Linked DNA regions of Ovis aries. Each later gene encodes a partner of the first gene's protein in a complex. Links are inferred from orthologs where the notes say so. Each region holds a gene or a part of one and is shown on either strand. Other genes may lie near its edges. The genes, in order: LSM11 and LSM10.

The links.
Region 2: LSM11 (region 1) and LSM10 share a complex: the UniProt entries of both Homo sapiens proteins name them as parts of the heptameric ring U7 snRNP complex. The link is inferred for Ovis aries from reciprocal best matches to the Homo sapiens genes LSM11 and LSM10.

Annotation. Positions count from the first base shown.
Region 1 is NC_056058.1:66,927,857-66,943,626, forward strand, and holds the end of LSM11 (U7 snRNA-associated Sm-like protein LSm11), read left to right. Parts: intron 1-3,859; coding exon 3,860-3,999; intron 4,000-5,951; coding exon 5,952-6,035; intron 6,036-6,499; coding exon 6,500-6,910; 3' UTR 6,911-11,691; downstream 11,692-15,770. UniProt on the Homo sapiens protein: Component of the U7 snRNP complex that is involved in the histone 3'-end pre-mRNA processing. Increases U7 snRNA levels but not histone 3'-end pre-mRNA processing activity, when overexpressed. Required for cell cycle progression from G1 to S phases.
Region 2 is NC_056054.1:11,236,064-11,252,633, reverse strand, and holds LSM10 (U7 snRNA-associated Sm-like protein LSm10), read left to right. Parts: upstream 1-6,057; 5' UTR 6,058-6,272; intron 6,273-7,761; 5' UTR 7,762-7,776; coding exon 7,777-8,145; 3' UTR 8,146-8,499; downstream 8,500-16,570. UniProt on the Homo sapiens protein: Appears to function in the U7 snRNP complex that is involved in histone 3'-end processing. Increases U7 snRNA levels but not histone 3'-end pre-mRNA processing activity, when overexpressed. Required for cell cycle progression from G1 to S phases.

The DNA.
Region 1 (15,770 bases):
ATTAGGGGAGGGAGAGTGGTTTGGTCAGTGAGATTTGTGGGTGAGGAACGCAGTATGAGGAAATTGTTCAGATAGCACAGGGGACATAATCTCATGACCTCTGCACATTAAGTGACAGCTCGTTCTCAGTGCTGTAAGCAGAAAGGGCTGCAGGGTCTTGACATACATATGTTCACTGGAATGCAGCAGGCACAGAAGGCCACTAAAGGGCAGACACTTTTACAGCCTCTCTGCCGGGCTGAGTGCAGGGACTCTTGTCTGTCAGGCTCCTATTACCATATGCACAGGTTATTTTGAGTTCTGAAGGTGTAAATGGCACGAGGGGATTTCTTGCAGCCTCCTAATAAGTTCCTTAGAGTAAAGCTGTAAATAGCAGAGATTGCTAATGGGTGAGTTAGGTCTTGTATAAATGGAATAGAAACAGCCCAGGGTCATATCTTTGTCATCTGGCAAACAGTTCTGACATCTGCCCCATGAACACAATGACCTACTTAGCCATTCAGAGCATCTGTATCCTGATAACTAAATTGTGGCATTATTAAATCACTGCCTTTGGAATGGAGCATTTTGCTAAGTAAAGGAATATTTTGTTTCTTTCCTAGAAGTGTGTTAAGAGAGCAACATCCTAAAAAGCTGAGTGCTGTTAGGGGTGCCTTTGTGATTACAGTGCCAAAGCATCCCTGCCTAAGCTGGGGTTTACTCCAGTTTGCTTGCCCAGCAGTGACATTATGCATGTGCCTAAATTAAGAGCAGTTTGGGGGAGCTTATTTTGCCCATAGTTTTTGCCACTATCAGATCTTTGAAATGCCCTCCAAGTCTCAGATTGTAACATTTATTTCCGTTTTGCCAAGTACTGCTTTGCTGCCAAGATTTTCAAGACAAAAGAAATATTTCTATGTGGTGAGTGGTTTTGGCTTTACTGGTGGAGCATTTCGCCATATTATTAGGATGAAAGAGGGTGAAAGCCAGCTTTATCAACTTTCCACAATTAAATGTATGCCTGGAATCAAAGTCTCAAAGTGTGCTGTAGGCACTGAAAATTTTAATCCTACCACTGGAAACAGTTGGGTGTACATGGTAGAGATGAGTAGATATCACAAAAAATTGATGACCTTCAGGAAGCAAAAAAAAGTATAGAAGCAGGGATGAATATTAGGTTTTTTCCAAAAAAGAATTCATATAGAAATCAGCTTTAGGTCTTGAGGTTAAGGAAGGGCATGCTTGACGATAACAGTAATTATTTAAAAATAAGGCTGTTGAGCATGTAATATATGCTAAATAAGCGTGTAATATATGCTATATTACATATAGCAAAATTAACCCCTCAGGTGAGTAAAAAGGTTGTGAATTCATCACCACAATCAAGATACAAATCAAGGAGTTCCCCGGTGATCTAGTGGTTAAGATGCTGCACTTCCAATGCCAGGGATGCAGGTTCAAACCCTGATCAGGGAACTAAGATCCCACATGCTGTGTGGCAAAAAAAATAAAATAACGTGTAAAGTTAAACTTACCATAGGGCCTGGCCCATACTGAGGGCTCAGTAATTGGTGATAATATTGGTGACAGTGATGCTGCTGCCGTTGTTGATGTGAAGGAGGGAAGCTTGGAGACTCTTGAAGTGAACCAATAGTATGATGAGGCTCTAGACTGTATTGTTGGTTGTGGAAACAGAAAAGAAAGGTCAGGTCTTAGTTATTGAGAATCTCTTTTCTGGACTTAGTATTGGCTATAAGAAGGGAAAAATAAAAGAGTGGAGTTAAAAATGACCTGGATTTGGAAGGCTGTGGCCCAAGGGTAATGGCAGTGGAGAGGGGGATTTGGAAGAATAACTTCTTCAAAGATAAGGCATAGATACAGTTTTAGAAGCCTGGCTCATATCCATTTGGAGTTTGTCACAAATACTGCTGAGAAGAGATTCAGAATGTGCCTTGTGATTCTGAATGTGGAACTTTTTTTTCTCTTGGGATTTTGCTCTGCTAGATGGTGCCAGTGTTGTATTTTTGATCACATGAGAGAAATATTCCCTGGAATTATACCTTGTTAAATCTTTGGAAGAAAAAAAAATCAAAATAAAGGTACAGATATGAAGGTTGAAAACCTGAGTTTACCATTTGCTTAATTAGAATAAGAGATTTTTGTTAAGGTACATGCTTGTCCTTTCTCCCTGATTTGGGGATGTGAGGGGAGTAATGCCCCTGTTTTCTTCTAAGTTAGAAAAAGAGTGGCCTTTCCAGCCTTTGTGGAACGTGTGTATGGTGGAAAAGAGGAGTGAATGTGGAAGGCAAGTAGAGGAATCTAGGCATTGTGACCAGTTTCTAAGAAATTTAATTATTGGAACTTATTCATTACATGAAACTAGAAGTTACCTAGTCTAACCTCACCTTATGAATGGGGAAACTTGGACTTGTGGAGAAAAAGTTGCTCCCCAAGTTCACACAACTAGTTATAATGACCTAAATGTTGTTTACAGTGCTTGATTTGACGCCATCTGTAACACATATCCAGGTATGTGTGTGTACACATACCTTAGTGTGTCAGAGGTACAGAGAAGTTTAATATGGCTAGAGGAGGGATGGATGGTGAAGGTCAGGCCAAGGGTCTCATGTTCCTTTCCAAGGCCACTGTTTCTGACACTCTGCCTTCTTGCTGAATCTTCAATCTGACAAGCTCCTATTTCTCATCTACAACGTCGCTTATCTTCTTTTATTAACTTACCCCTGCCATCATGTATAAGCCAGTCCATGAGTGGGGTAAGGAGGTTAAGAGTAACCACCTTAGGTATCCGAATTGAAGTGCAAGACACTTGTTCTCTTTTATGCTTATACTAAAAATAAGACAGAGTTATTGTTGTTTGTCTACTATCAATGACAATAACTTACAAAGAACTGTGCCATTCAGACTTCAGGGGAAGAGTGAGATTGTGTAAATGTGAGTGTGTGTGTGTGTGTGTGTGTGTGTGTGCATGCATGTGCAGTTTTCTTTAGGGAGGTTTTATGTAGTACAGTCACCGTACTGTGATGGCTAAATTAACATGAAATAATAAAAATAAAACTCAGCCTTGCTTTCAAGCTCTGAAAAAAAAAATCCATCATAATAAAGGCTGCAGTTTTTAGTCCCAGCATTCTTCACATGAATTGTCATACTTCTCTTTTCATATGATGCTTATCAGCAATTTCATAGCAGTCAGATACTCAGCAGGTGCCTTTACATCAGTGAGGCCTGAAATACAACCAGGCCTCTTCTTCCTCATGTGAAGATAATGTTCACTGAAACACTAGTGGCCTAAGAGCACGGCTTCTGCATGATGTAGCTTAGACCGAGAGGGCTAAAAAGCCATTCTCTCTTAGACGATTACATGTGTTTCAGGGCAGATGAGTCACACGGTTCATTTCCTTTAAACCTGTGACCCAAGTTCTTGGTTCTTTGGAAGGCTCAAGCTGGATATGCAGTTCGTAAGGTTTATCCTGAAAAAGATTGTTATACAAGGCAGAGAACTGAGAAGAACCTGGCTGCTGATGTGCACATTTAGTATCGTGGTTTTTTGCCCCCAAAAGTTTTTAAGTGATGCTGCCTCTTAGAATCAGAGGCATCATAGAAATAGCATATGGAGGTAGTGAAATCTTTGGATGGTGGCCACGCAGGGGGTTTACCCATGTTCTGGGGAGTCTTGTCTCATTTCAGTGTGCATTGCCTGCACTTGGCATGCTGCCCACTGGGCCTTCCTGCTCCTGTGGTGTGGTTGCCAGTGCCATACCATGTAGCCTTGCGTTGCTGGAGATGGTGGGGTGGTCTTGGTTGTTACTTCTGGGAATGAGAGCAGGTATTCATTCTGTGCTGATGGTTCTTCTTGTTCCAGTGCACGAAGGCAGCCCTCTGGGTGAACTCCATCGCTGTATCCGGGAGGGGGTGAAGGTGAATGTTCACATCCGCACTTTCAAGGGACTTCGGGGCGTCTGTACAGGCTTCCTCGTTGCATTTGACAAGTTCTGGAATATGGTAATTAAGCCTTCCGCAAGGAACTGGAGCACCTTCTAAGGATTAAATCTTTTATATATCTCAAGGACTTTATTCTGCAAAACCTCCAGAATAACTTCCAGGAAGCCCTAGAATCTTTGAATTCTCTTGGACAACAAGAGAAAAGTTCTTTTTATTGTTTTCCCAAAGGCAGTGGCTTTCACCTGGGATGATTTTACCTATGCCTCCTTCCCAGGGACATTTGGCAATGTCATTTTTTGATTGTCACGACTGTAGGACAGAGTACCACTGGCATCTAGTGGGTAGAGGCCAGGGCTGCTGCTGTGCACGCTGCAATCCACAGAATACCCTGCCAACAACAGAGAATTATCTGGTCCAGAATGTTGCTAGTGCCAGGGTTGAGAAATCTAGCCTTAAGGAATAATTGCTTATGTCTTCTTTTAGTAATTTTATATTGATTTCTTACTGGTTATTTTTCATTCATTTAAACATATTTATTGACTTCCTACTTTGGCTGGGCACATTGCTAGGTACAGAATTCAGGAAGGAACTTAAACTGCAACTTTTGGAAAGAGAGATGAAGATAGAGGGGAAGCAGCCATGTTAATAAACCAGACACTTTGCATGGTGTTTGCTCATGAAGGAGTGTACCATGCGCCCTCAGTCTTCTAGAGGCTTAACTGTCTATTTACTAGACAGACATTTGGAAGAGAAAAAGGACACAGCACAGCTACGATATGAGACAGTTACAGTAGGAGCCACAAGGGCTTTCTAGTGTTTCTTTCCATACGATCTTCCATCGCCAGTTTTTCTTCTCTTTGTGCTGTGTCTTCATCTGTGCATGCCCCTTGATTATAGTAGTAGTTGCTAATACTTATCAAACACTTGCTATATGCCAGATCCTGTACAAAGGACTTTATATATACTACCTCAGTAAATGAGTTGTAAGTCTATCACTGTTTTATTTCACAAATGAAGTAACTGAGGCTAGTGGTTTTGGAAGGTTGGTCCCAAATCACACTCTTAGTAAGTGAAAGGGACTGTAACTTTATCTTTTCTGGCTTATGAAACCATGTTTTAAACCGTATGGAGTCATAAAACTTGGATTCAAATCCTGGCTTAACGTTTGGTAGCTGTGTAACTCTAGGCAAAGTAATTTCTCTGAGCCTCAGTTTTCTCATTTCTAAAATGTAGGGGGAAAATGTTTTATTATTATTGTAAGTTTACCTTTGAAGGGAGAGATTTAAGAGAATATGTTTAGCAGTGGTGGCAATAACAATACTGTCAGCTTATGTTTGTAAGATGATTCACACTTTTCAAAGTAATTTCTCATACATGAGCTCATTTGAGCCTAATAGCTGTCCTGTAAGGTTGATCTCTCATCAACAAGAATTCATCGGTATTTCTGTGTATTGCCCTGGCTAGTCTCTTCATTGCTGTCATAAAGCAGAGAGACTGAAAAGGGAAAATCAGCAGTAGTGTTCTTAAGGTGTGGTCTGAGGCTGTCCTGCATCCGAATGATGGGGTTTCTGGTTAAAACAGAAAGTTCCTGGGCTTCGTCCCAGACGTACAGAATCAGAATAGCCTTAGATTTATATTTTGCCGCATTACTGACAAGAGGATTTTTTGCAGAAACTAATGCCTGTGGTGTTAATGCATCTCTGGTCAGTAATGTGTTAATAAGCTTCCTTGATTATTCATGCCCCCCTGAAATTTAAGAACCTCTACCCTACACTTGCAGTGGCCCCTTACCATAGGAGAACCCCATCGTATATGGTCGTAACAGCTTGGTGTTCCTATTCATAGGGGACCGTGTATTACCATTTGTTCCTGCCCAAGAGCTGAGTCACCTGTTAAGTTTAGTCTGGTATAATTAGATGGTATTCTGCCATTTAAATTTTGTCCTGAAAGCTATAAAAATAATATTTTGAATGATACCATATTTTTCCTTCCTTTGGTCTCTTTTTCTCTAGGCACTTACTGATGTGGATGAGACCTACCGAAAACCTGTTCTAGGCAAAGCATATGAACGGGATTCTTCATTGACTCTCACCAGGGTAAGCAGTTTCCCCTGACTTTGAGTACCCAGTGTGCTTTCAAGCTTAGGAATTAAGATCACTGAGCCTAGGGACCAGGATTTCCCAGCAGTAAAGCCTTATTGCTGTCAACCAGGCATGCTTGGACCAAGATCTTCATTAGTCTCTTCTCATGCATCCAGTGAGTAAAAAATGAGTCTGTATTTCTTACTTGCATATTGTTTGAGCAACAAGTTACCTCATCAGGTCTGAATGTCTTTCAGTTTTATACCATAGAAAAAATGGGTACCTTTTCTCTTGACATACTTACTGATTTATCTGAGTTATGGCTAGAAATAGAAAATTTGTTGCTAACGTTTTTTAAATTGCAAAGCAAACAGTCTACAGAGCATGATTAAGGAATCTAGTCTTTCCTTGGTATATCGAAAAAAAGAGATGTTGAAAACTGAAGAGAAGGCTAATACTTGTCATTGCTTTCCTTGCAGCTCTTTGATCGATTAAAACTGCAAGATTCCTCCAAGAAGGAAACAGATTCTAAGTCTGCAGTTGAAGACTCCACTCTCTCCAGATACTCCCAGACATCCACATGGAAGGTGGCTTCAGTGTGGGGAAGAGGAGACACCGATCGGAGTTCACGCAGGCGTTCCCGCTCCGTCCCTTCTTCCTTGCAGGCGTCTGCAAGGGAGGAGTCCAGGTCAGAGCTGTCAGGGAGGACTACACGGACAGAAGTGTCCAGTGCAGGGGGTACCTTTTCCAGGGCTACCACCCTTTCCAGGGGCCCATCCCGTAAGAAAAAGAGAAAGCCCAAAGTGGATTACCAGCAGGTTTTCACTCGACATATAAATCAGATTTTCATTCGAGGTGAGAACGTCCTGCTGGTTCATCTTGCACAGTGACCGGCTCAACCTCACTTGAGCTTTGGTTTTAGAAATACAATGCATGAATTGCTGCTATGCTTATCCTAGTATCCCAGTGTAACTCTGAGTTGGAGTGATCCCTCTGGTCCAGCATGTGCAGAGCATAGAGCCAGGCTCGGGCCCTCTGGGAGATGAGGTCCTGAAGGGAAAACGACTTGAGAGGGTGGTGGGTGTTTGCATTAATATCACAGCAAAAACTGTACAGAGCATGGTCCATGCATCTGATTTGGTATCACAGTCTACTGCATACACTCAAACCAAATATAAGATCTTGAATTGGGGAGCATGGTATGAATTGAATTGACTCCACAGACACTATAGCGTGGTGAAGGAGAAAGCCTCCTCAGGAAGAATGATCTCATTTCTAGAAGCTAGTGCCCTGAGTACTCATGAACTTGTATCTAAGAGTAGCAGTATAAATTGCCTCGAGCCCTTCATCCGCACCTTGTAACTGACCTTCAAGTTTCACTCTACACCACTCTCTCTTGATCGAGGAATGTACTTTGCTATCTCTTAATATCTGTAAGATAGAAGAAGGCTACACATTTATGTAAGAGTGAAACCTGGGTGGGTAGCATGCTCCAATAAATGCTGTGTCTTCATCCCTCTCCATGTTATGGGAAGAAATAGGGGACCTTGTTGTTGGCTTTCCTCTTGCCAGAGGGAGTTCCTGCAGATGGTGTACCAGGTGGGACTGTAAGATGCTCTTGTCCTTCTCTTCTTTCACTTTTGTGGCATGGTGCTAGTGCATGTGCCTGCGTATTGCCCCCTGTGTATAGTGTGACCTGTCCTGTGAGCTTTATAGCAGGAGGCTGTCACCTTCATGACTGGCTGCGAAGAGTTCTGCATGAACTCAAGAATACACACACATCATGTGGCTGAGAGTACCCTTTCCGGGCAGGGCTGGCCCTGTCTCGAGTGTCTTTCAGGGTAGTTTTCCATGAAACCCGGGTGGAGTTTTATTCCCTTGTGTCAGGCCAAAGAGGTTCTCACAAAGTACAACAGTGGTGTCTATAAGGGACATGTTACTCAGCCCAGCTTGAGTAACCAAACACCAGACCACCTGCTACTATTTCTACTTGAATCATATGCTTTTTCAATCACCAGTGCAAAATAGGCTATATCTCGACATAGACTGTTAGGCAATATTGACCTTTTGTTTTGTTAGTTTATGTTAGGTTTTATTTTAGATAGCTTACATTCAAAGTGAGAATGAGAAGTAGCTCACTAGTTAAAATGTTTGAAAAGAAAAACTTCCTCTGCCGTATTTGTTGTGTAACTTAAATGAGCCTTCTGAGAAGCAGGTGAGTCACGCTCAGAGAGCTGGGCCGGGACTCCTGGTCCTTTGGCTGGCTGGGCCTCTGGCTCTTCATGGAGTGAGAGAAGAGCAGACTAACCCCTCTGTGCCTCAGGTTTTCCCCATCAGACACCTACCTCACAGGGGCACTGAGGAACAGAATCTGGGGAAGGCATTTTAAAGTCTTTTAACATACGTAAGTGCCATGAGTAATTTTTACTCACTCTGTTTCATAGCTTGCTAGAAGTTCACTGTCTCATGAGCAAAGTAGGTGCTATATAACATAAGAACGTAATCTCTGTAAGTGTTAACAGTTATGATCTTCTTGTCATCAGAAGGCAGTGATACCTTCAGGAACTACTTTCCATGTTCCATTCCTTTCTCCTAAGAGACAATGGAAGTTCTCAGAAGAATATCTTTAGTGAAAGAAAAGTAACAGTTTTTTTTGCTGCTCTCCCATATCCCAGCCCCCACCCTTTTCTGGTCGTGATGAGAGGGAATTCCTCTGCACTTTTTGGGGGGTTTATATGCCAGCACTGAAGGAAGGATGTGAATCTAAAAACAGCACATCCCTGAAAGGGAATCTGTGGAAGTTGTTTTATTTGATTTTGTTTCAAAATGGGTTTCAAATATACTCTTTAGAACCAGATGAGATGCACTAAACATTTAGAGAGGTTCTAGGTTACACATGCAAGCGAACAGTTATCTTTGGACACTGCCAGCCTGAGTCTTTTTAAATAGTATGTTCTGAAATCGGTCGTCTTGTTAATCATCAGGCACCCCACCTTTACCCCTTTACCGATCTCCCCTGTTTGGCTGTCCCCATCTGTCTGTCTGTCTTGTCCCTCATCTGGAAGCTGTAATAGTTACTAGATTTTCACAATAAAGGAGAAATTTGGAATCAAATGAATATAATCAATTTCTATTCATTGTAGTACCTGATTAAATCTAACCTGACTTATTTTAAACACATGCTCATTTCCTTGTTTGCATATGATTTTCATGTGTCCATATAATGATTGATTTATTGCTTTTTTGCCCAACTTAACAATTCTGGCTCTAAAAATTATTTTAAAACTGTGTGTGATCTATCTTACGTGCCCATATTCCCCATTTATTGGTTTGGACAGTGATTCTGGGATGATTACTGTCTAGTAAATGTGATGTTTTGTACAAAGCATGATAATCATTATTTTATAGAAGTAAATTTTTAAAATTATTGCCGTTTATTATTGGATAAATTTTTCAAAACGAAGGAAAAATATATTCTAAAAATGTACATGCTGCTCAAAAATGTGATCATCTAAGACATTTTAACAAATTGCTATGGAAATAACTGAAGTCTTCCTGAAGAGAAGGCAAGGAAAGAAAAAGGGGAAGTAACAGCCAGAACAGCAGATTTCTGGAGGCCCCCCATCAGCTCGCCAAGGGGGCCCTAAACAGCCGATATACACCACAACTGGCTTCTAGTATTCTCCAGGGATTTGAGATCGAGACTCTAGTTCTTATTTTTTTTAACATTGAACTGAAGTTCTTCAGAGTAATCTCTAGACAAGGGAGCGTGTTTTCAGGGCAGACTTATGAACTTGCTGAGGTCTTCTCAGGGGTATACAGGTTTGTTAGAAAGTAGCAAGGGACTGAGAGATGGAAGGTGTGGCTTCACCCCCAGGACGATCTCATGGGCCAATATTTGTACACAGAGGTTGTTCTACTGCTTCACCACTAGGAGAGGCTGCACTTTAGGTTGTTTGTGCTGGTAATTAGGAAGTATTTCTGCTTTCTTTCAGAGACCAGTTATGATAGAGGTGGGCTGTTTGTGAGATGCTTAGCTAGAGTTGTCTGTGGCAGGCGGCCCTGGACCAGTTGGTTTCTTCCTCTCTCTGCATGTTGCGTGTCAAGTCAGAAAGCCTAGAAACTGTTAGCATTAAAGTCAAGGTGCATAGGAATCCTTGCCAGTGTCGTTAGTGAATGAAGAAGGGCTTTACCTGTCTTCATGTGAAAAGGTCCAGGAGTACCTTTAGGGATTATCAGCCCCAGCCTCAGAAGCCTTACACAAACCTAGGTGTACTGCCTGTACCCCTTGAGAAAGAACCTAACTTGATGCAGAGTGGATATTTGTATTTCTATTTGTACTGTTTTCATAGCAGCAGACATGGGCAAAATCATGAAATAGAATCTGTTCTGTAAATTACTTTTTAAAATTTTCTCTTATTTTTGCCTTTAGGAACAAATTTAAATTGTTCAAAGACAGCTAGCTGTCACTGGTGCTGTCCCAAAGCTTTCTAATCCTTTATGTATTTTTATGAATGAAGTGATTGCTGTGGGAAGACCAAGATTCATCTAAGAGTGTCATGGTATAAACAGAATGGTTTGTAGTTGTTTGGATTTTTCTTTTCCTGTGCCATATAGAATGCAGTCAACTCCTTTTCAGTAGCTTCTGTTCGTCAGCTTGTGTGTTTCTGGGTAGCAACTCCCAGAAGGCTCTTAGTGTTTGTGAAGAAAGAAAATCTCATCTAGGCCTGTGTTGCAAAGGTGGGTGGTCTGTCATTACTTCCTGGCAAATTGAGTTGATGGATTTAAGATAAGCCTTTGGGGTTCCTCCATCATTTCCTGGGCTTTGAGGAGGAGTTGGGCCTCCTGTACTCGTGGTGTTTTGAGTATGTTTCAAATGTTTGTAATTTCTCTTGCACTCCTCTAATAAAAATGAAAGCTGTCTGTCAAGACATGGCTTTGGATGGTTGGGAGATCTAGCTGGAAAAAAAAGAAGTACACCTGAGACCTTCAGTTGGTCTTTTATTTATTTAGAATAAAAAGTAGTTTGATAAGCTACCAGAGCCAGTGCTTCTTTAAAAACATTCTCTGAAGAGATAGGAACTGTCCCACAGGAAAGCTATAAAAGCTATTCCCAGTGCATTGCAATTGCTTTTGATTTTTAATCCTTTGGAGCAAATGTCTGATGTTATGTTTTTAGAGCTGTGGGGTAAAAATGTATTTTTAAAAAATTTAGGGGTGTTACTGAAACAATGACTGGCTGAATTATGTGTGAGCTAAGCTCTAGGGCAGCTGTCCAGTTCTTTTTTTGTTGTCCCAACAGTAAAGCAGATAGTAAGCGATGTCTTGAAAAGTGATTTGCTTATTCCATCCTGACATCTAAAGGCATTAGCCTCCTATTTGGCAGCCCTGGGGAAACCCCTCTGCACCGTGACTTATTACCTTGTTTTTTAGACAAGGCTAAACCTGGATGACTCTGTGTATTAATAGTTTCACTCTTCATAAACCAGCTGCTACAAGAAAAACCATGATTTTTAATCTTGTCTTGAAATTACTCCTCATTGTTAAATTCACCTAAACCCTTCCTGTGTATGGAGGGTTGCTGCTAGTAACATCAGTTTGCAATGTTCTGCTTTCAGTATTTGTCATACGGGAGTCTGGAAACTGTAATAAATACAATTGTCTTAATAAACTGGCTGCTTTGTCTCTGCTAATTGAGGAGGGATGGGTGGAGAGGAGGTGGCAGGGGAGTCTGTTACCCATGAAGACACCCATCTAGAAAGTTAACACATCACAGGCCTTCTGCAGTCTCGTTGTTGTAACCTTGTGCCTTTTCTTTAGCAAAGCACATGTATCTAGATCATTATTCAGGTTTATTTGAAGTTTACACTTAGAAAAGGAACTTGGCCCATGTTTGTGAATTCTCTCCTCTAAGCCCCAAGCAATGGTCATTGCCCTGTGAATTTATCCTACCTAATAGCTCACTGGTGTTAATCCACTCTCTTCACGACCTGCTGAGATCACCATTGACTCAGCTCCCCTTGGAGGATTTTACCACATCTTGCTGATTGACACACTTCCAGGAATATCTGAATTTGCCACCAGCTCCTCTGTGCACATACAGGAAGTTGATCTGCCCAGAGATTTGCCACATTGATTACTTGACATCCTCTGTGTGCTTCTAGCCCTGAGTCATCCAAATAAGGTAGACAAACAAAAATGACATTGATTTTTAGAGGGGGGAACCTCAAGTTAAAGACCCAATTCCCTACTTTCAAAGGATACATTAAGTTTGGCACAGTTGGCATACAAGAAGTTTGTAGGCATCACAGTGGAAAAAAGAGAGGCAAGACCCACATGTTCCAGTTCTGCTTGTTTCTGCTCTTGCTTGTTTGTTTTACATCTCAAAGACTTGTGATTAAATAAAAATGTTCTCATTAATCAAACTAAAGTCAGAAGAGTCTGCTAGCTTGACATACAAAATGTACAATGATGGTTAAATATTGGCAGGGAGTGGAGGCCAGCAGAATGAAATTTATCATCTGTTGCTCTCCTTTTGCTTTCTGGATAGGAGTGGCAAAGAGAAAACAAGTGCTTGTCCAGCCCCATTTTCTCCTTGGATAGACGTGAAGGGTATGTCAGTCTGCTCAGTTACCACTAGATGGCAGTAGCTTAAAGAGAACTGCTTAAGTGTCGAATCCCAGAAGGACCTGAGGCTCCAGATCTCCAGTTACTGCTACCATTTATTGTTAAACACTCACCAGTCTGAACCTAAATAATCAAGGAAAAGCAAACTGTAGTCAACCCAACTGGCAATATAACCATCTCTTACCACTGCTGAATTTCCATAATGTGAAGCTAAGGCAGCCTGACGGCAGCCGTCAGCCAGTGAAAGTGCCTAAGGGAGAGAGAAAGGGCAGTGTCCACTATTTTAGGGAGTCTGTTGATATTCTCACATGGTGGAGTTCCTCATTTCTTCTCAGAATGCTGTCAACTCCACCTGTCCCCTTCCCGCCTGCTGGCAGGAGATTACTTCAGGAAAACTGACTTGATTCCTCTATTTCTCAGCTGCTGTCTCGCTTTTGGAAATTCACTTTCTCCCAGTGTTAATGCCTGATGCTCCGTTATGAGAGCGGTTGCATTCCTCTTGTGATTCCACAACCAGAATAAAACCTCCAGTCCAAAACTGCAAGCGAGGAAAATTTCTAATAGACACAGAAAAGTGTGGTGTTTTAGGCTGTGCTCTGGGAGCAGGAGCAATAAGGTAGGAAGTGCTGGTAAGTCTCCCAGCACTTCACATCAAGGCCTTCAAAAGACCTTCTCTGTCCGTCAAGGAATAATTTCCCAGCAGCGTATGGTGAAGAGGAATCTACAAGTGCCAAACCTATTGCCTGCATTACCTTGTTCAGATAAAACCACAGCAAGGGGGAGATTTTATCTCCAATATGTGTATGAGGGAACTGGAACACATTAAATAAGCTACCAACATCTCCCCTGGTAATAAATGGCAAATTTGGGGTCTGTCTCTCTGACTCTTAAGTTTGTTGCTGGCCAGTTGTACCTGAAACATATCAAATTTCTCAGGCATTGAATAGGGAGCTTTGAGGACAAGTGGAGTTAATCCCCTTAGATTAATCAGAAACCAGAGAGCTGAGTTAAACCAGAGCTTTTGGTTTTTCACATGTCTAGTTCCTTTTGCCCAGTTCTTTGACTGAAAGTGGACATGTACACAGGGCTTCGTGGCTCCCAGAAAGGACTGTGGCGGTGGGCACCCCCAGGGCAGTGGTCCAGCTGTGGTAAGAGTGGCTGCCAAGTGAGGACCATCTGGTATTTCATTTCACCCACCAGTTGGTTTGGCCCTGGAAGGGGTATCAACCTAATAGTCTTGTTAAAAAGCAGGTGGGACAGCTAGTGATCTTTCCCAAGTCTTCAGAACACGTGTGGAAAGCCTGCCAGCCCTTTCTTTCCAGTGTTCTGCAAAACCTGGTAAGAATGCTTTCTGCAGGTCTTGACTTATTCATCTTATTAAAACAAAACAAAACAATAAAACTTTTCTCTATGCTAAACTCTGGATGTGCTAAAGCAGGAGAAAAGGATTAGTTGAAGGCCTGTGGTCTTCCTAGAAAGATTGGCAAGCTGTCTTGTAAAATTTCCCTTCAACTTGATGATGTGTTAGTTTCCAGAATATGATAATCCTAGAAGGAGCCCTTATCTTAGATGCTTACCAGTGGTTTCTAAACCTCAGTTTCCTCATCTCTAAAATAGGGATAATACCACCTAATAGGGTTGGTGACAAAGTGCTCAGCCCAGACAGCAAGTTTTAATGTCATTTACGCTATGATGAGCTTGTTGTGTGATGCTTAGCTGCTTTCTTCACTTCCCTGTGCTTGTGTTTCGCGTCCTGAGACCAGGCAAACAAGTGGACGCAGCACAATGCTGTCATCCTTTTTTCCTAGCACACAGACAGACCTTGAAAGATTGTTCCCAGACTTCCTGACACCTTCTCAGTTGTTTCTCCCTAGATTAAAACTTGAGCATATCATCATCTTCTTCACCGATGGGAGAGTGTTGTGCTCCCCCAGGAATGACATTAGGCTCCACGGGACATTCATTAGTTGGGGTTACAAGAGGACCACAGGGCACTGGAATGGTAATTTCCTACATGCGACCCCAGTGACCCAGAGGGAGCTAGCTCAGCTGGTCTGAGCATGTGGTTAATGAGGGAAGGGTCATGGTTTCACTCCTGTGTGGGCCAATTAGTGTCACGTGGAAAAGCATGCTCCTGGGGCCCCAGGCGGCAGCTTTACACTGTGGCACTGGTCTCCAGGATGACTGTATGGCCATCATCGCTATCAGAATCCCAACCCAAAATGTACATCTTCCTTATTATTACAGAGCCCATGGTTTCCAAGACTTGGATCATTTGCCAAGCATCTCCATGATTTTTCCGTTATCCCAAGCAGACCAGTGTATTTTTATTTATTTGATGTTTTTCTACACATTGCCTCACTCTTTTAGCTAACACTTAAAAGGAAGTCATGTGTTACTACCATCAATGCAAATTAGGGAAATTTGCCTTAAATTGAAAGTACACATAAAAATAAATAGGCAGTAATTGAAATTAAACTGTTTGTCTTCAGATTATAGGCAGACCTCCTGAGCCACAAGTGATCAATATCCTCCCATGTGTTAATAAACGCATGGATATAAATTGCATGTCTTACATAATAAACATACTGTTCTGTAATAAAATGGCCAAGTCAGCAAAAACAATATTCTAAAGCAATTGCTTCCATGGGAAAAGTTGGGATCAGTGACTAGGGAGTTTCACACTTGAAGTGATGAAATTATTCTTGCAGGAATTTCAGCACCAAAGGTCTTTCTAATAGTCTTTCTAATAGCCATAAATGTATAACTATAAAACCTATAGTCTGAAACAATCTGGGGTTTAATTTATATCCAGCTCTTGCTCAAAGTCATGGCTTTTGTTCACACTCCCCACTGGCACTGTCATTAACACCGTGCTTCTTACACATCCTTATCATTATCACCCGTTTTATGATAAACAAAGCACAAACGTGCAAAGCAGATATGTTGACTGCACAACATCTTTCTTCCCCTCCAGCCATGAGCCAGTGCACGCTCATCTCCCCAGTCAGCCAGTTCCTTATGGAGATCAAGATGTAACCAGTAGTGGTGCTGGTAATAAAAATGTATTCCTTAATTAATTGAGCATGTTACATCCAATCCAGTTATGAAAATGTGCACCGG
Region 2 (16,570 bases), on another chromosome or scaffold:
TTGAACCAGTCTTTTGTTCCATGTCCAGTTCTAACTGTTGCTTCTTGACCTGCATACAGGTTTCTCAGAGGCAGATAGGGTGGTCTGCTATTCCCATCTCTTAATAAAGACTTTTCCACAGTTTGTTGTGATCCACTTAATTAGCATGGTCAATGAAGCAGAAGTAGATGTTTTTCTGGAATTCTCTTGCTTTTTCTATGGTCCAACAGATGTTTGGAATTTGATCTCTGGTTCCTCTGCCTTTTCTAAATCCAGCTTGAACATCTGGAAGTTCTTGGTTCATGTACTAATACCTAATTATAAAGACCCAAATTAAAATCCAAGTCAATACACCGTTTACCCACCCCTTCCTCCCTTTAGGTGGCGCAAGTGGTGAAGAACACACATATCAGTGCAGGAGACATAAGAGACACAGGTTCGATCCCTGGGTCGGGAAGATCCCCTGGAGGAGGAAATGGCAACCCACTGCAGTATTCTTGCCTGGAGAACCGCATGGACAGAGGAGCCTGGCGGGCTACAGTCCATAGTGTCGCAGAGTCAGACACGACTGAGGCATCTTAGCACATGCACACGCTCCTTCCCTTAAGTCAAACCTGGAAAATTCCTCTTCCACTGCCAAATTCCTGGTCAGCTGGCAGCAGAGGGAGTGGAAAGAACTGTTTTCAAGGGACTGGGCTGGAGACCCCTCTTCTCAGTTGAATCTTCCCTACCCAGCTTCAGGATTCAATGCAAAGTAAATTTTCATATCATAGCCCACCTCTTTTCAAATGAGAATGTCAAAATGCATTCCAAGAGCCAGTGGAAATCATTCTGGATTCTCTGGTCACCTTGACACCTCCCCCACCCCCCACATCCACACACGCTACATCCTTTTTGTTTCTGGCCAGTGGGTCCTCTGCTGATAAAAATAACAGTATCTTCTCTGCTAGTTCCAAAACCACAGGAAACCCGTCACATTAGGCCTAGCGAGGTGTGGCCTTTTTCTTTCTCATTATGAAGGTAAAGGACCTGCCAGGATGTGTCATTAACACTAGTCCCATACTCTGGGAGAAAAATAAGAGGAAAAGTTTAAAAGTGACCTTTTGAAAGTCACAGAGACAGCTGAAATTACAATAAAGGAAGTTGTTTAAATTCACATCTCTTAAAAAATTCTTCAAAAGTCACTGTCTATAAACTTCATAAATTGTTTTCTCTTTATTTTGGATTACTTAAAATGTAAAATTTTAAAACACATAAAGGATAAAATAAGTATAAACGAAGCTTTATAGACCTGGGGGCAGACCCAAGACTCCTAAATCCTACACGTGCACATTGGCTTCAGATCCCTCCACCCTCCTCTTTGTAAAATTCCCCAACTTCCTTTCATTTCTTTTTCTTTTTTTTTAATTGGAGGCTAATTACTTTACAATATTGTAGTGGCTTTTGTCATACATTGACATGAATCAGCCATGGGTATACGTGTGTCCCCCATCCTGAACCCCCCTCCCACCTCCCTCCCCATCCCATCCCTCAGGGTCATCCCAGTGCACCAGCCCTGAGTGCCCTGTCTCATGCATCGAACCTGGACCGGCGATCTGTTTCACATATGGTAATATACATGTTTCAATGCTATTCTCTCAAACCATCCCACCCTCGCCTTCTCCTTTTTTCGTGTATTTAAGGGGAAGGACAAGGAAGGATGCTCTCAGCTCAGGTTTTTCTGGATATCCAGAAGGCCTCCCAGCTTCAGTTACAACTGAGAAGATAATAACCTGTGTGGGATGCCCTCCCTCACCTCTCCCCTCTACCTCAGCACATCATTTACCTTCCTTACCCCTACCCAGCCCTCTTTCTGCACCTCAGAACTTCATCAAAATTCAAAAGGCCACCAAAGAGCCCCTGGATCCCACGCAGCATGGCCTCAGCTCTTCCAGGACCTCCTCCCCCCACCAGCTCTCCAGCCTTCCCGTTGCTTCACCTTGCTTTCTCCCACTCCCATAGCTTCAGTCACAACACAGTCCCTTTCCAGTCTCCAGCCCCAGCTCTGCTGGATTCTGCTGCCGTCTCTGCTCCCCATTCTCCTGGGCCCAGTTCAAGGCCCTTTTCTTTTTCTTACTAGGTCTTTGTGCTCAGATCCTACTAATTTCTGACCACACTTCCCCTCTCTTCCTCAGTATTTTGTTTTGTTTTTTTCCCTTGGCTATGTTGGGTCTTAGTTATGGCACAAAGGATCTTCAGCTTTAGTTGTGACATGCAGGATATTTTGGCTTCAGCATGTGGGATCTAGTTCCCTGACCAGGGACTGAACCTGGGCCCCCTGCACTGGAAGCACGGAGTCTTATTGGCCACTGGACCGCCAGGGAAAGCCCCCCTCGGTGGCTTCTGATTGAAGCTCGCCCTCTGATACAGATGTTGATGTAGCCATTTCTCAGTCTGTCAGAATGGCTGGGGCAATTGCTGGAGGATCCTTGTTTCACCCCTGGGGTTCCCCCACCCACCCTGTCATCACACTCTCACTTCAGCTGTCAGCTCCTGTCTCCATTTCTCGCCCTGGCCCTAGCCTTTGCTCTCCCCACCTCCATGCCTGCTGACCATATATTTTATGTGCCCTGCAGTGCTTAGTCTGCATTCTTCGGCAAACTATTTTGCATTCCTTTTTTCAGAGAGGCCATTACTTTGACCCCATACTATTAACTCACAAATTTCCATATTCCTCTCTCTGGGCTGCAGGTTCACTTTTCCTGAGACATTCCATCACCTCACGCTTCATGTCTAATATTGATACCATTTTTATTTATTCAGGACATTCACTTTACTGTCAAAAGGCATGAAGAATCTTCTTAAATTTCATACAAAATAAGACAGTTCTCCATGGAAAAGCACCAGAAGCAATGAATAGAAGTTACCCAAAACTTCCTAACAATGGAGTAGAACGCCCAGCACAGGAGTGAGTTGCTGGTCACTGGAATATCAAGCAGTGACTAGGGGGACACGGGAGTGAGGGAGGCTGGAGAGGGGATTTGGATCCTGGGTGGGAATTTGGAGCAGGTGGCCTGGGAATCACCCGAACTCTCAGGACTCTGTATCTTCTGACTGTTGGATACAGAACCACAACGAAATCATGTGCAGGGAACAGGGAAATTCAAGGCTCCTGTGAAAGTGAAGTCGCTCAGTCGTGTCCAACTCTTTGGGACCCCATTGACTGTAGCCTACCAGGTTCCTTCATCCATGGGATTTTCCAGGCAAGAATACTAGAGTGGGTTGCCATTTCCTTCTCCAGGAGATCTTCCTGACCCAGGGATTGAACCCGGATCTCCCACATTGTAGGCAGATGCTTTACTGTCTGAGCCACCAAGGAAGTTCTCAAGGATCCTGAAATGAACTCAATTCAAGTGGGCCTTAGTCTGGGTTTGAAACTGCAAAAAAAAAAAAAAAAAGGAACTAATTCTCCACTGAGGTGGAGAAGGAATTTACTGAAAGGGCTTCAGGCAACTGACAGTTGTCAGGAAGAGTGAAGGACCATGCGAAATGGCCAAGAACCAGGGACGGGGAGGCGGCACGGAGAGCACGCCAGCAGCAGCAGCAGCACCCGCAGGGATGAGGCGCTGGATGACGCAGACACCAAGATGAAGCCTCAACAGTTCCTGCTGGTCTGTGTCCCTTGCTCCAGATTTGGAATCCGATAATGCCTGAGCTTAGGTCACCAGCCTGTGCCATAGCTGACAAGGATCAGAGACGTTATCTGCCCTTTAAACCATCTAGAGTGGGAACAGAAACTCACCTCTCACTGAAATTCACACAATGGCAGATCTCCCCAAAGGTGGGGAAAGGAGTTCAGTGGGCTGTGTAGCCCAAAAATGAGATACCCTCTACAGGCGTGAACCCCCTCCCAACCCTACCACTCTTATTCCTGTCAATGGGCCATCAGCGTTAAAATTTAAATCATTGATTTCCCCTCCTGCAAACTATACTCCAGATTTAATCAGTCCCCAAGGATTCTCATTCACTCTCTTCATGGTCTTTAACACTCATCCCTTCTTTCCATCCCACTGCCACCAGTTCATTCAGCTCCCATCATCACAGCACATTCATAAAACCATTGTTCCTCCTGAAACTGCTGTTTGTAGGGTGAAACATCTCAGCCTCCTAGGGCCTTCTCCCTGTCTCAACACCCAAGAGATGAGTAGGAGAGGTGAGATTTACATAAATAGCTATGGCGAATCTGCATGCACCAAGCAAACACATATCAAGCAGTATGCTATCAGCCTCACTCCCAGTTGGCATTATCAGACTTCAGAAAGGTACAGCCAGCCTTTGAAGGAGGGATTGGACTTAACATCCATAGCCAAGCAAGAGAGAAACCCAGGCAGATGAGCACGATAGCAAAGGCAGAGACAAGAATGCAGGGCTTGCCTGGGAGTCGCTGAGTCCGACTTTAGGAGGGCATCGGGTCTCACCGTTGGTGTGCACTGTTAGATGTGCAGATTCCCAGGCTCTACTCCTGATTCTGTAGGTGTGGGGTTGGGTTTAACAAGCATTCCAGATAACATTAAGGCAACTGGTTCCCTGGAACTTCCCTGGTGGTCCAGTGGCTAAGACTCCGTGCTCCCAATACAGGGGCCCTGGGTTCCATCCCTGGTCAGGAACTAGATCCCATATGCCACAACTAAGACCTGGCACAGTCAAACAAATAATATTTTTTTAATGAAAGGAGATAAGAGGTTCCCTTATGTACATGGAGATCATTAGTAACTTTTCAAGAGAAGTTAATGTGAGTAAAACTAAAAACACTCTTGAGAAGAAGCCAGATTACAGTGAGTTGAGTGAGTAGGTGAAAGCCCTCAGGATAGAGCAGCTGTTCTCAAATTTTCAGTCTCAAAACCCTTTTGTACTCTTTAAAAATTACTGAAAGCTAAAGTATTTGTTTATGTGGGATATATATATATAGTAATCACATATATATGAAATTGAGATAAGATTTTAATATTAATTCCCTTTTAAATAACAATAACAGACCCATTATCATATTTTTATTTTAAAATAACTATATATTTTTTTAATTTGGTGAGAAGAGTGACACTGCTTTATATTTTTGCAAATCTGTTCAATGTCTGTCCTACTAGAAGACAGATTCTCATGTCTGCTTCTGCGTTCAGCCCACTGTGCTATGTTGGTTTGGCTGAAGTAGGGGAAGAAATGGATAAGGAAATGGCACTGCACTCCAGTATTCTTGCCTGAGAAGCAGTATGGACAGAGGAGCCTGGCGGGCTACAGGTTGCAAGAGTCCGACACGACTTAGCAACTACACCACCACCACCACCACCACAAGAAGAAGAAAATCCAGTCTCACGTAGAAATGGGATTGGAAAAAGAACTCCCAATTGCAGAATCACTGATATAGAGGCCTCTCCTGAGAAGTTCAGCTGTGGAAGGTAGGAAAACAGCGTAGCTGCCAGGGAGGAGAAAGACATTTTCTATTTTTAGAATAAGAAGAGGCCAGCTGTGGTGAAGGATGAAAAAGGGATGGTTTCTGAGAGAGGTTGAAACCTGTAAACGAGAGGGTAAAGGAACGACCTAGGCCTAAGTCATGGGGCTGCTCCAGTGTGCCAGGTGCTGTCACACATTAATGAAGGTCACTCAAACCTTGAAGGGGCGTGGCCCAGATGGTAAAGAGGTGAAAATCAAAGTCGCTCAGTCGTGTCCGACTCTGCTACCCCACGGGCTGTAGCCTGCCACTCTCCTCTGTCCGTGGGATTCTCCAGGCAAGAATACTGGAGTGAGTTGCCAGAAGGGGATCTTCCCAACCCAGGGTTCGAACCCAGGTCTCCTCCATTGCAGGATGGACTCTTTACCGACTGAGCCGCCAGGGAAGCTATTGTTTCATTTGCTGAATGAAAGAATGACTCCAAAGAAGAGAATCCAGCGACGTCGGTCGGGCAGCAGGAGGGCGTCTCGAGCCCGCGAGGCATTCTGGGGATTGTAGTTCCGGGCCCGCCGCGGGGGACGCCAGCTCTGCGCTCTGCCGCGCTCTCGACGCTCCGGAAGGACCGAGCGGCCCCGCGGTTGCCTTGGCGTCCTAATCCGGCAGCGAGAGGGAGGCCGCCCGGCTAGGCGCCCGCTAGTTTCGGCGGCGACGTGCAGCGGGACAGCGGAAGGAACTCGCGCGGCGGGCCTGGGGAGCCAGGGGCGGAGCGCGAGCGAGCCTGGAACCACGGAGGCGGCGGGAGCGGGGCCAGCGTCTTCCTCCCGGTTGCTGAGCTTAGCTCCTCTTCCCAAGCCCACTCCCACGCTCTGTGAGTAAAGGGTCGTCACCATCCCCACTCTAGCGACTGTCTAACAGGTTTGAAGAAGCCAAGTGGCTTTCTCGAGGTCGACACTCTAAGGAAGTAACCGAGCCCCGTCCTCCGGCCCAGACCTGCCTCTTTGCAGTCACTGTGCTCCCCGAAACCCCCGTTTGAGCGGATATGCCTGGTGAAACCTGGGTGGGGTCGGTTAAGAGTCTTCCGGCCCAACTCCTAGCACCTTGTCAGTGGAGTGGGTAGCTAGCTTGTCACACTTCATGCCACCCTGCACAGCCCTATCGGGATCCTGAGTGAAGTCTTAAGAAATTCAAACACCTGGCACTCAAGGTCTGAAAATGGGGGGTGGGTAAGACATTATCCACCCCCCATTAATATAGCATCCGAGCGTGTTGAAAGCAAAGGAAGATACACTCAGCGTGGTGAGAACCTGTTAACTTCACCTGTTGGTTTAACAGACGGGGAAACAGGTTCAGAGACGTTAAGTAACTGGCCTAGGTCTACAGAGTGTGGGTGGAGTGGGGATTCCAACCTCCAAATTTCTCTGCCTTCAATACCTATGTGCCATATACGCTACCATTTCCTTTTTTTACAGTTGTCTAAATTCCTGGTTACATAGCTGCAGCATCGGGTGGACCAGTCATTCTCAGTGGGCCCTAAACCAGCAATATCAGCATCAGCTGAGAATATGTTAGAAATGCACATTCTTGGGCTCCACCTCAAACGGACTGAGTTAGAAAGGCCGGGGTGGTGGTGGTGGGGTGGGGGCGGGTCATTTAACCCCTCCTGCAGGTGATTCTGATGCACACTAATGTCTGAAAACTGGTGAAGCGATTCATCTAGGGGTCATGTTAAAATGCAGCTTCTTTCGGTAGATCTGGGGAAAGCCTGGAGATTCTGCATTCCAAAACAAGTACCTGGGTGATGCTGAAACTGCTGGTCCACAGACCATATTTTGAGCAGCAAGGGTGTAAACTACACTTTAGAGGAGTGGTTCTCAAACTCCTTGTCTATGCATTGTCTCTGCGTTTAGATGCACATTAGAATTACCTGGGGAGCTTTTACAGAATAGGGTACCTGGGCCCCACCCCTGACCAAATGAATCAGAACCTCTGGGTGTGGCGACCAGAAACTCACTGCGTGATTCTCACAATGAGGGTTCAGAACCCTTGGTGTCGGAATTGGAGCTGGGCAGCCATGGATTCGAATCCCAGCACCTTGGGCCAGTTACTTAACATCTCCTGGCCCAATTTTCCTTGTTTATAAAGTGAGTGTAAGTGATCCTTGGTTTGCAAGGTGTTGTGAGGATTCTATAAGGTGTGTCCAAGAAAGCACCTAAGGGCACTCTGTAGGCATAAAAATTGAGGAGGTGGACAGAGTTAGGGAAGTCTGGGCTGGGGACTTTGTGCTAAAAGCTGACATCAGTGAGTTAGCACCCATACTCCTTAGCCTGCTTCAGCTCCCCTGTGTGTGCCCCTCCCAGAGCAAGCGTGGAAGAATGGAGGTGAGCCACTCGGTGAAGGAGCGGACCATCTCCGAGAACAGCCTGATCATCCTGCTGCAGGGCCTCCAGGGCCAGGTCACCACCGTGGACCTGCGGGATGAGAGCGTGGCCCACGGACGCATAGACAACGTCGATGCTTTCATGAACATCCGCCTGGCCCAGGTCACCTACACAGACCGTTGGGGGCATCAGGTGGAGCTGGACGACCTCTTCGTGACAGGCCGGAACGTCCGTTACGTCCACATCCCCGACAACGTGAACATTACCGCAACCATTGAGCAGCAGCTGCAGGTCATCCATCGGGTGCGTTACTTTGGCAGCAAGGGGCAAGGCCGGCAGGAATTTCCCTCCAAAAACTCTTAAGTAAGCCTGTCCTGGTCCCCACTCAGGTTCCTGCAGACTTCTTCTGAGCCAAAGCCTGCTCTCCCTGCCCACCCAGAACCTGGGAGGGGAGCAGGACCAGCCCAGAAGCTGGTGTCTGACAGACGTCACCTGTCACAGTTGCCTTTCTCAGGGTCTCACCTCTCAGACTCACCCTGGGACCCGGAATTTTAGTTATCTGACTGTGGCCTTGGGGTAGATGACAACCCCCCCCCTTTGGATCATAATTTATCTAAATCTCTAATTTACCGATTGAGGGATTGTGTCAGTTTTCAACCCTCTTGCATTGAGGATTATTAAACACGCTGGGCCTGACGGGCCCCATTTCTCTTGTAATTGTGTTTGTTTTCTCGTGAAACAAGAGGATGCAGACGAGTCTGTGCCTCATGCTTCCTGCCATGCACCAGGCTCCCTGTTGGTCTTGTGTCACGGTGCTGGGTTGCAAGCGTGGCTGCACGTTGGAGTCCCCTGGCCCACTCTCACCTATTTGGCTTTAATTGGTGTGAGTTGTGGCTTAAGCAGTGGAATTTTTTTTTTTTTTTTTTTTTAAGTTTCCCAGGTGATACTAAATATGCAGCAAAGATTGAGGATGTAAGAGAGGCCTTCAGTCTGGTCAGGGAGTGACTCTTCTGTTCATATTTCCCGTTGGAGAGCTTGTTCATCTCAGTGCTCTTTCCTGGGGGAGAGCCTGGAGTAATCCCGGACCCTACCGTCAAGTGTAGAAGCTCATCCAGCAGCAGGAAATCAGGCTCTGATTCTGATATTAGGCCCTCGGGGAAGAAGGGGGTCTCGGGATGAGAACCCCAGCCTTTGTTGTAACTGCCTCCCCCAGCTTTGGCAGCCTTGCCACAGGCCAACTACCATCTCAGTGAAAGTGACTGTCCCATGGAACCAGAGTTTGTCTTCATCAAACAAACATCCACAGAGCAGCTGCCGCGTGGCAGGCCTCCTGCTGAGCACACATTGTCCAATAAGCTCTGGTCGCTTCTGGAGAGGGACTTAGAATCTAGGGCTGGAGGCAGACATTTCCCGAGGGAGACTGCAGAGCGGTGTTCGTTTGGGCGCAGGCAGCCCACAGTCCCTGCGTTTACGTTCTAATCCAGTCTGTTTAAGTGTTGTCCTTGGACCATCTCAGCAGAACCAGCTGGAATGTCTAGAAGAACCACCTTCCTGGATCCCCGGATTGAAAACAGAATCTGGAGCCTGAAAATTTGCTTTATTAACACCCACCCACCCATCCACCATGAGTCCTTTACCTGTTGTATTTCTTCTATTGCCCAGAGGCCTCAGAGGCCACAGGGGAGAACAGTGGATCTGAGCAGGGAGAAAACCACTGCTCTGAGTTGCCAGGCCTCTCTGATAGCTAGAGTTAAGGAGAGCAACACGAGAAGAGTGCGGGTAAGAAGCCAGAGGGCAGGTGTGGAAGGGAGGCGTCACTGTGGAAATGTCTGTGTTCTCACAGCCAGGGGGGAGACCGCCTCTGGTGTGATGAGCTGGCGGGGAGTCTCCCCACACTGCCACTGTCACAGACATTTCCCACGTGTCTACAGACGCTGCCATACTTGAAGAGGGCCCGGGCTGGGAGTTCAGCCTAAAGGTGGAGGAGAGGTAGGCCTGGCTCTGCTTTCAAATGGTGTGCGGGGCTGGGGTGGGGGCGTCTGAAGGGAGGAGGGGCGACTTCCACATCCTCCAAAGAGCAAGGGAAAGCCTAGCATGGATAGCTGAGAAGGGCGGCTCTGGACCCATTCTGTAAGTTCTGTAAGCTTTCTGCACAGATCCCAGTGGGCCTCTGTGCTTCCAAAGACGGGTGTGAGGCAGGGTACCAAGACCTTCTGAGATACACTAATGCCAAGTCCCTGGGGTAGAGCACAGCTATGTGTTCAAGCCCCAAAGTTATGGGTCTTGGCATCTGGTCCTGGACTGCTGGGAAATTGACCAGGGCCCAGGTAGGGATGGGGGGGAGCTCAGTGCCCACCAAGCTGTGGCAAGCCACGGGTCATTCATTCCACAAGTAATTTGAGTCACAGTGCCAGCTACTGAGGGAACAACAAGAGAGACAGGGGGTCCTGCTCTCAGGGAGCTGATGTTCTGGAGGGGAGACGAACAAAGAAAAGTAAACAGATGGGAAGGAAGTAAACAGGAAGGAAATAAACAGGGCACATGGAGAGAAAATAGGTTTTATTTCCAAAAGTGTAGTCTGAAGAAGTTAAATTTAAACTGAGAAGGCACCTACCATTTAAAAAGCCAAGGGAAGGCAGAGGAAATCGCCAGTGCAAAGGTCCTGAGGTGGGAAAGCTTGAGGGTTGGGGGCAACAACCAGATACCACTATGACTTGGTGGAGGAGAAGGAGACAGGTGAGACAGGAGAAATGGGAAAGAGGTGAGGCAAATGATACAGGGCCTTGTGGGTCAGGAGTATAGCTGGTTCCAATCTCAAGTGTGTAAGAAACATAACTTGAATTTTCTCTAACTCAGCTGAATTCATATTTTGCTTTACTCAGCCAGAGTGGCAGAAACTTAACTGCAGTCAATTCAGGGTTCCCCATCACTTTCTTTGGAATCGGTTGAATTCCAGGGCACTTCCTTTCAAGATGCCAAAGCATGGGAAGGGCAGTCCCACTGGCATCCCCCGAGATGTCCTGGTTTTGTCCTGGTCTTCTGTCTTCAGCCCACTCAGGATGCTGCCTAGGTGCTTCTTCCTCACCTCCCATCTGATCGTAACCCATCCCCCTCTTGGTGTTCAGACTCTCACTCTTACTTTTCCAGGCCAGTCAGGCCCAGCAAGTTCCTAGGGTCTTGGGTGAGTTGGGCCCCATTTGCCACAGTGCAGCGCAGAGGGTTCTGTTACTTCTTGGCACTCCACCAGGAAAAGGAGCACATGTCTTCCTGCTTCCCGGGCCCTGAGACCCAGCAGATGCCCTCTAGCTCAGAGGCTGAGCTGCTCTATTCTCAGGGACCACCCCCTCAAGTCTCAGTCTCCCAGATCCCCCTTCTTACAGTTTTCTAAATTTAGATCTGCACAGATATTCTTTCCATCCCTCCCTGAAGGCGAGCAAGGCTCTTAGAATTCAGAAGCTAAAACTGAACTCCACATTCTGGCGTGTCATTTGTTTCCTGGCGTAATGAATGCATAGTAACCTGACTGCATAAGGGAAGAGCCAAGGGACACCACGGAAGAGAGGAAAAATGTATTTCAAAATGTCATTGTCCCATCGAGGTTTGGGTTTTGTGGTCATCGCTGCAGCCTTTGTTCAAGCCTGCACATGACTGAGCACTCAGGAATTCTGAGTGAGAGGGCATATCCAGGCCATGGAGAGAAGAGGACAGGAGGCTCACTCACCTGGGGAAGGGGACTACCAGGGATCTGAGGAGAACTGGGTGGGCTGTGGCTTGACATTCAGTTCCTAGGATGGTGCGGCATCTCCAGCTCTCAGCTGGATGGGACCCACAGAAGAACATCCAGTTCAGTGAGTTCCAGTCTGGAATGCCTAGCTGAATGGTCCCTGAGGGCAGCAGGAGTCCCTTGAGCTCTTATCAGTGTTCCAGAAGGACCAGAGGAACAGCGCGTTGTATATGAACACTAACCAAGCTGACTTGATCTCTACTTCAGGCTGGAATTATACCAACAGCATGATGGGCCACTGGCTTCCTCTTCCTGATCACAAGCTCTCATAGCTGTAATATGAAGCTGTAATGAATAAAAAGGAAGAAATGACTTGATGGCAGGTTGTACAAAATCTTACCAGATATGAGGCTCATGTGGATGGAAAATACTAAAAAAGGCTTTTAAGGTGACAATATTGGGAACCCCTGATCCAGTCCAACTCTGTCCTTTTTCAGTTGGGGAAGCGGAGATCCTCTTTCTTTAAGGAGAAGGTGGAGGGGTCTCCCTGTGTCCCATAATTAAGATAATGGCAGAATGCCAAGGTGGTCACCACAAACAGCTACTGCTTATTGAATTTCACTGTGCACCAGGCCCTGTGCCAGGGGCTCCGCGTGCTCCAGGAGGGCAGAGCTGTGGTCCGTTTGGTCCCACTGGATCTCCAGCATCCAACTCTGCTCTGCACACAGCTGGCACTCCATAAATCTTTGTGAAATGAAAGAATCATCTCATTTCATCATTACAACAACCCTAGAGGTATGTATTAGTAGCCCCGTTTTAGAGATAAGCAAACAAACCCAGAGAGGTTACCTGACTTGCTCAGGGTCACAGAGCCAGTGAACAACAGAGTGGGGATTTGAACTCAGGTCTGTATGCCTAAAACTCCATGATCTTTGCTACTACACTGCACTGTTCTGCCTCTCAGCATTCCTGATACTGGTAACCGGGTAAGATAAGCAATGCCTTGATGATTCAGTGGGTAAAAGAGTCAGCCTGCAGTGCAGGATACTCAGGAGGTTCAGGTTTGATCCCTGGGTCAGGAAGATCCCTTGTGCCTGGAAAAGTCCATGGATGGAGGAACCTGACAGGGTATAGTTCAAACAGTTGCAAAGTCGGACACAATGGAGTAACCAAGCACGCTGCTAACAGTGATGGTACCCAGCCACCAGGTATGGGCCTAGCACTCGAACCGGCATACCTTGGTTCTAGGGGCTTGGCCACAGAGAACCCAGAAGTCAGCCAGTAGGAAAGGTTTGCGGGGTTTCAGAAGCCTGAGGAAGCTCCCTAGGGTTGAAGGTTTCCTCCTCTCCTTCTGTAATAGGCAGATCTGCCTGTACATCGTCAAGCAACCGTTTCATGCTGTTGTGACAGGTGTCACTTTGTCACGGCAGTGTCGTCTGCCAAGATGCCCAGAGCTGGAGAGCCAGCAGGAGCATGTGTCACAGTGCGTGCGTGCGTGTGATGCAGCCGTCTCCTCATGTTCGTGTCCTGATGACAGCTTTTCATTTCCTCTGGCTGGCACCTTTCCTTTCTATTCATTACCTCTCCTCCTCCCCTCTTTCTCTTCCTCCTCCTCCTCCTCTTTGTCAAAATCCTATATTTTGAATCAGCTGAGAGCCTCCTGGGGCTGGGGATGGTGGTGTCAGCTCCAAGTGATTCATCTAGCTGATAATTAGAGCTCTGGAAAACCCAACACTCATTCCTGTCAGAGCTTCCGGAATCTCTAGGCTTTTCCCTTTGTCAGAGATAGGAGCTTGGGGGGCCGGGCCCAGCGTTTTTGTGCCTGCTTTCAGTCCTCCACTGCACTGAAGCTTGCTGAGAGGAGTGTGGGCACTCTTAGTTCATCAGGTCCCATGAGAAGCTGTTTCCACACTCATTGGATCCTCACAGTGAACCCACAAAGTATTATTCTTATGTTGACAGATGGGGATGATTAGGGAACTTGCACAGTCACTGAACTTGTAAGAGACACAGCAAGGACTCAAATTCAACCTTTTTGGAATCTGCCAGACTTGGTTCAAATCACAGCTCTGCCATTATTGGCAGAGCCAATAATGTGTCGTTGGTTACTTTCCCTCTCAGAGTTCTAGCTGCTTCATCTGCGAACAGACTCCTTAACATTGATGTCTCTACGGTGCTTAACACAGTGTCTGACATACTACTGCTGTTTCGATTACTACTGTTACTCAGCCCTTTCAGCTCAGTGTACACTAGGCATTTAGAGACAAAGACAAGGACACAGGAGGAGGCAGCCAGCCTCACTCACATCAACTCTCATGTCCTGGCAGTCACTGCCTGTGTGGAGATGACAAATGCGTGCATACACGTAAGTGCTTGGCCACACACCCTAGGAAAATCCAGAGCTGTGCACACAGGCTTGGACACGTGTGCCCAAATGGATACAGAATAACACAGCTGGAAAGAGAATCAGGAATCATATGCAGCTAGCATCCTGGCTCACACCTCGGAGACAAAGGAGTGGGTCCGTGATCGCGGGTACTGCCACCACGGCGCCCTTCTAGCTGCTTCTGCATGCCAGTGGAGGGAAGCCAGGCTCTCAGAGGGCCCTAGTGAGTCATCAGCCTGATGCAATCCCTTTAAAGGGCTCATCTGCTGGTGCAAGAAGCTGATTCATGGAGGGCGTGGTTGCTGGAGAAGGAGGAGAAAGGGACCGAAACTGCAGCAGGAGGGGCTGAGGTTAGGTGGCTGGAACAGCTAACAGGAACTCTTCACTGTTAACCTGCCTGGTCGAGACTCTAGGGATCTTCGGATTGAAGCGGGATTTCTACAAAAGCAAGGGGCCCAGAGGGAAATGAATTGTGAGGGCTACGGCAGGAATTCCTGTCATTGATGAGACCCACGCCAGCGCTCGCCGCACAAAGCTCCAGGAACCGAGAAATGGGGGTCATGAAAGAGCCACTTTTCTGACAAAGATACTACAACCGACCGATCTTTCAGCTGCTGGAGAAGTCTCCAGACCTGGGAGGGCGAGTGTAGGGCACGCGAGGCTCAGTGGAGTAGCGGCGGGGGCGGTGCCTCCGGCCCAACCTCACCTCAGACTTAGATAAGCGGTAAGTACCGCCCCTTAGAGTCTCGGCCTCCAATCGTTTCCCAGATTTCAGCCCGAGCCCCACCCTGAACCAATCCTCAATCGGATTCTGGTCTCTTGCCTGAAGGCTTCCGCCCTTCGTCAATATGGCACCCAATCCCAGAGCCGTGGGCTGTAGATATGGGCAAGGGGCGGGGCTGCGGCCTGTCCGGGAGGAGGGGGCGGTGCGTCACTTCCGTTGTCAGGTGGCGGCGCTGCAGCCATGGAGGGAGGCGGCGGCAGCGGCGGCGGTGGCTCGGGAGGCTGCGCCGGGAGACGGCGGTGAGCGGCTCCCACGCCCCTTGCCCGGCCCCGGTCCCCCGGGACGGAGCGCCGAGCAGCCCCGGCTCCGGGCTACGGACTATGGGCGAGCAGCGCTGAGCACCGGCGGAAGGTGAGGGCAGGGGTCCGGGAGAGGGGAGCCAGGAGCCCGGCCGGGGATGCGGGTTGGTGGGGGCGGGCCTCAGCGGCCGTGGCAAGGGGATCAGGGTGACAGCCTGAGGCCGTCCGGCTTGACAGAAATGACAACAGCGGATCCGCCGTCCTCGGCTGGGGTCTGCTCTTCCCAGGGGGCGGGGGAGGGGGCGGGGGCTTCTGCGCGCCGGGTACCGGGTGGCCAAGGGGGTGTCTCGGCCCCAGCCCTGGGAGTCGGCACAGCTCAGCCTTGCCTGGAGTCACTTGGTCAGTCAGCGAAGGCGCAGGTTTTTCCCAAGAGGCACTCTCTCCTCTCCGTACTGCCCTCCTGATCTCGAGAGTGACTTGAGAGTTGGAACGAGTCCCCGGAGAGCTTCTTCTCCAGCCCGGTCTTCCTCCACGAGCCCTCACCCATTGGCACGGGCACCATCGCTGCTGGAGAATTTCGAGTCCGGGGCGGCGATCAGGTGCGGGTCCGAGCTAGCTGCTAGTCGGTGCTGTGTTTGACCGGCCTTTGCCGAGGAGAGAGCCTGCTGCTGTGGTCACTGTTTCACCTGCCATGCCCCATCAGGCCTGCCCATCCCCAGGGCGCTTGGCCCCACCTTCCAGTCGTAGGTAGGGGCATCGGGATTCCCTCCAGACGTCGAGTACTCTGCCTGCCACCCCCACTCTCTAGGTTTGATGCCCGTTTGTTGGCGGAAGGAAGAGATGACAGCCGCCTTCGTTGGCAAGATAGACTTTGCTCTGTATTAAGTCACAGGAGGAAACCGGTTGGCTTTGCTTGGTTTTGAGAGCAATGAAGAAGAGGGTAGTCACTCTGGGCTGGGCACTTTCTCTCTTTGCTCAGCTTTGCATGAAATAAGGAAGAGCAGGATATGCACTTGTAAGGCCAAAAGAACCCTTGTTTGTAAACAGCGCTTGTGAGCTGGGCCAGTGCTCCTTGATGGATCTGCTGTGCCAGCTCTTTGTCCCTTAAATCTTAGACATTATGGAGATGGCCCTTGTTCATTCATTCATTCATTCATTCATTTCCCACATAATAGCATGACAGCAGCAGTGTCCTTGCCTGGAGAGGCAAGTACCCTGTATTATAGAGGTTAAGAGTAACTTTGGAGCCAGACCTCCTGAGTTCACATTCTAGCTCCGCAGCTTTGTAGCTCTGTGGCCTTGGGCAGATTGTTTAACCTCTCGGTGCCTCAGTGTTCTCAGCTATAGAACAGGACTGATAACAAAGTTACTGTGAAGATTTTAAAAGTTAACACCTACAAAACACATAGAACCATGTCTGCCACATAATGAATTCAGTAAATGTTAGCTAATCTTATTTCAAGAAGCTCATGGTCTGGTTAAGGGAGAAAGTGACAGTGTTAGTTGCTCAGCTGCGTCCAGCTCTTTGTGACCCCATGGACTGTAGCCCACCAGACTCCTCTGTCCATGGAATTCTCCAGGCAAGAATACTGGAATGGGTTGCCATGCCCCCCCCCCTCCAGGGGATCTTCCTGACCCAGGGACCAAACCTGGGT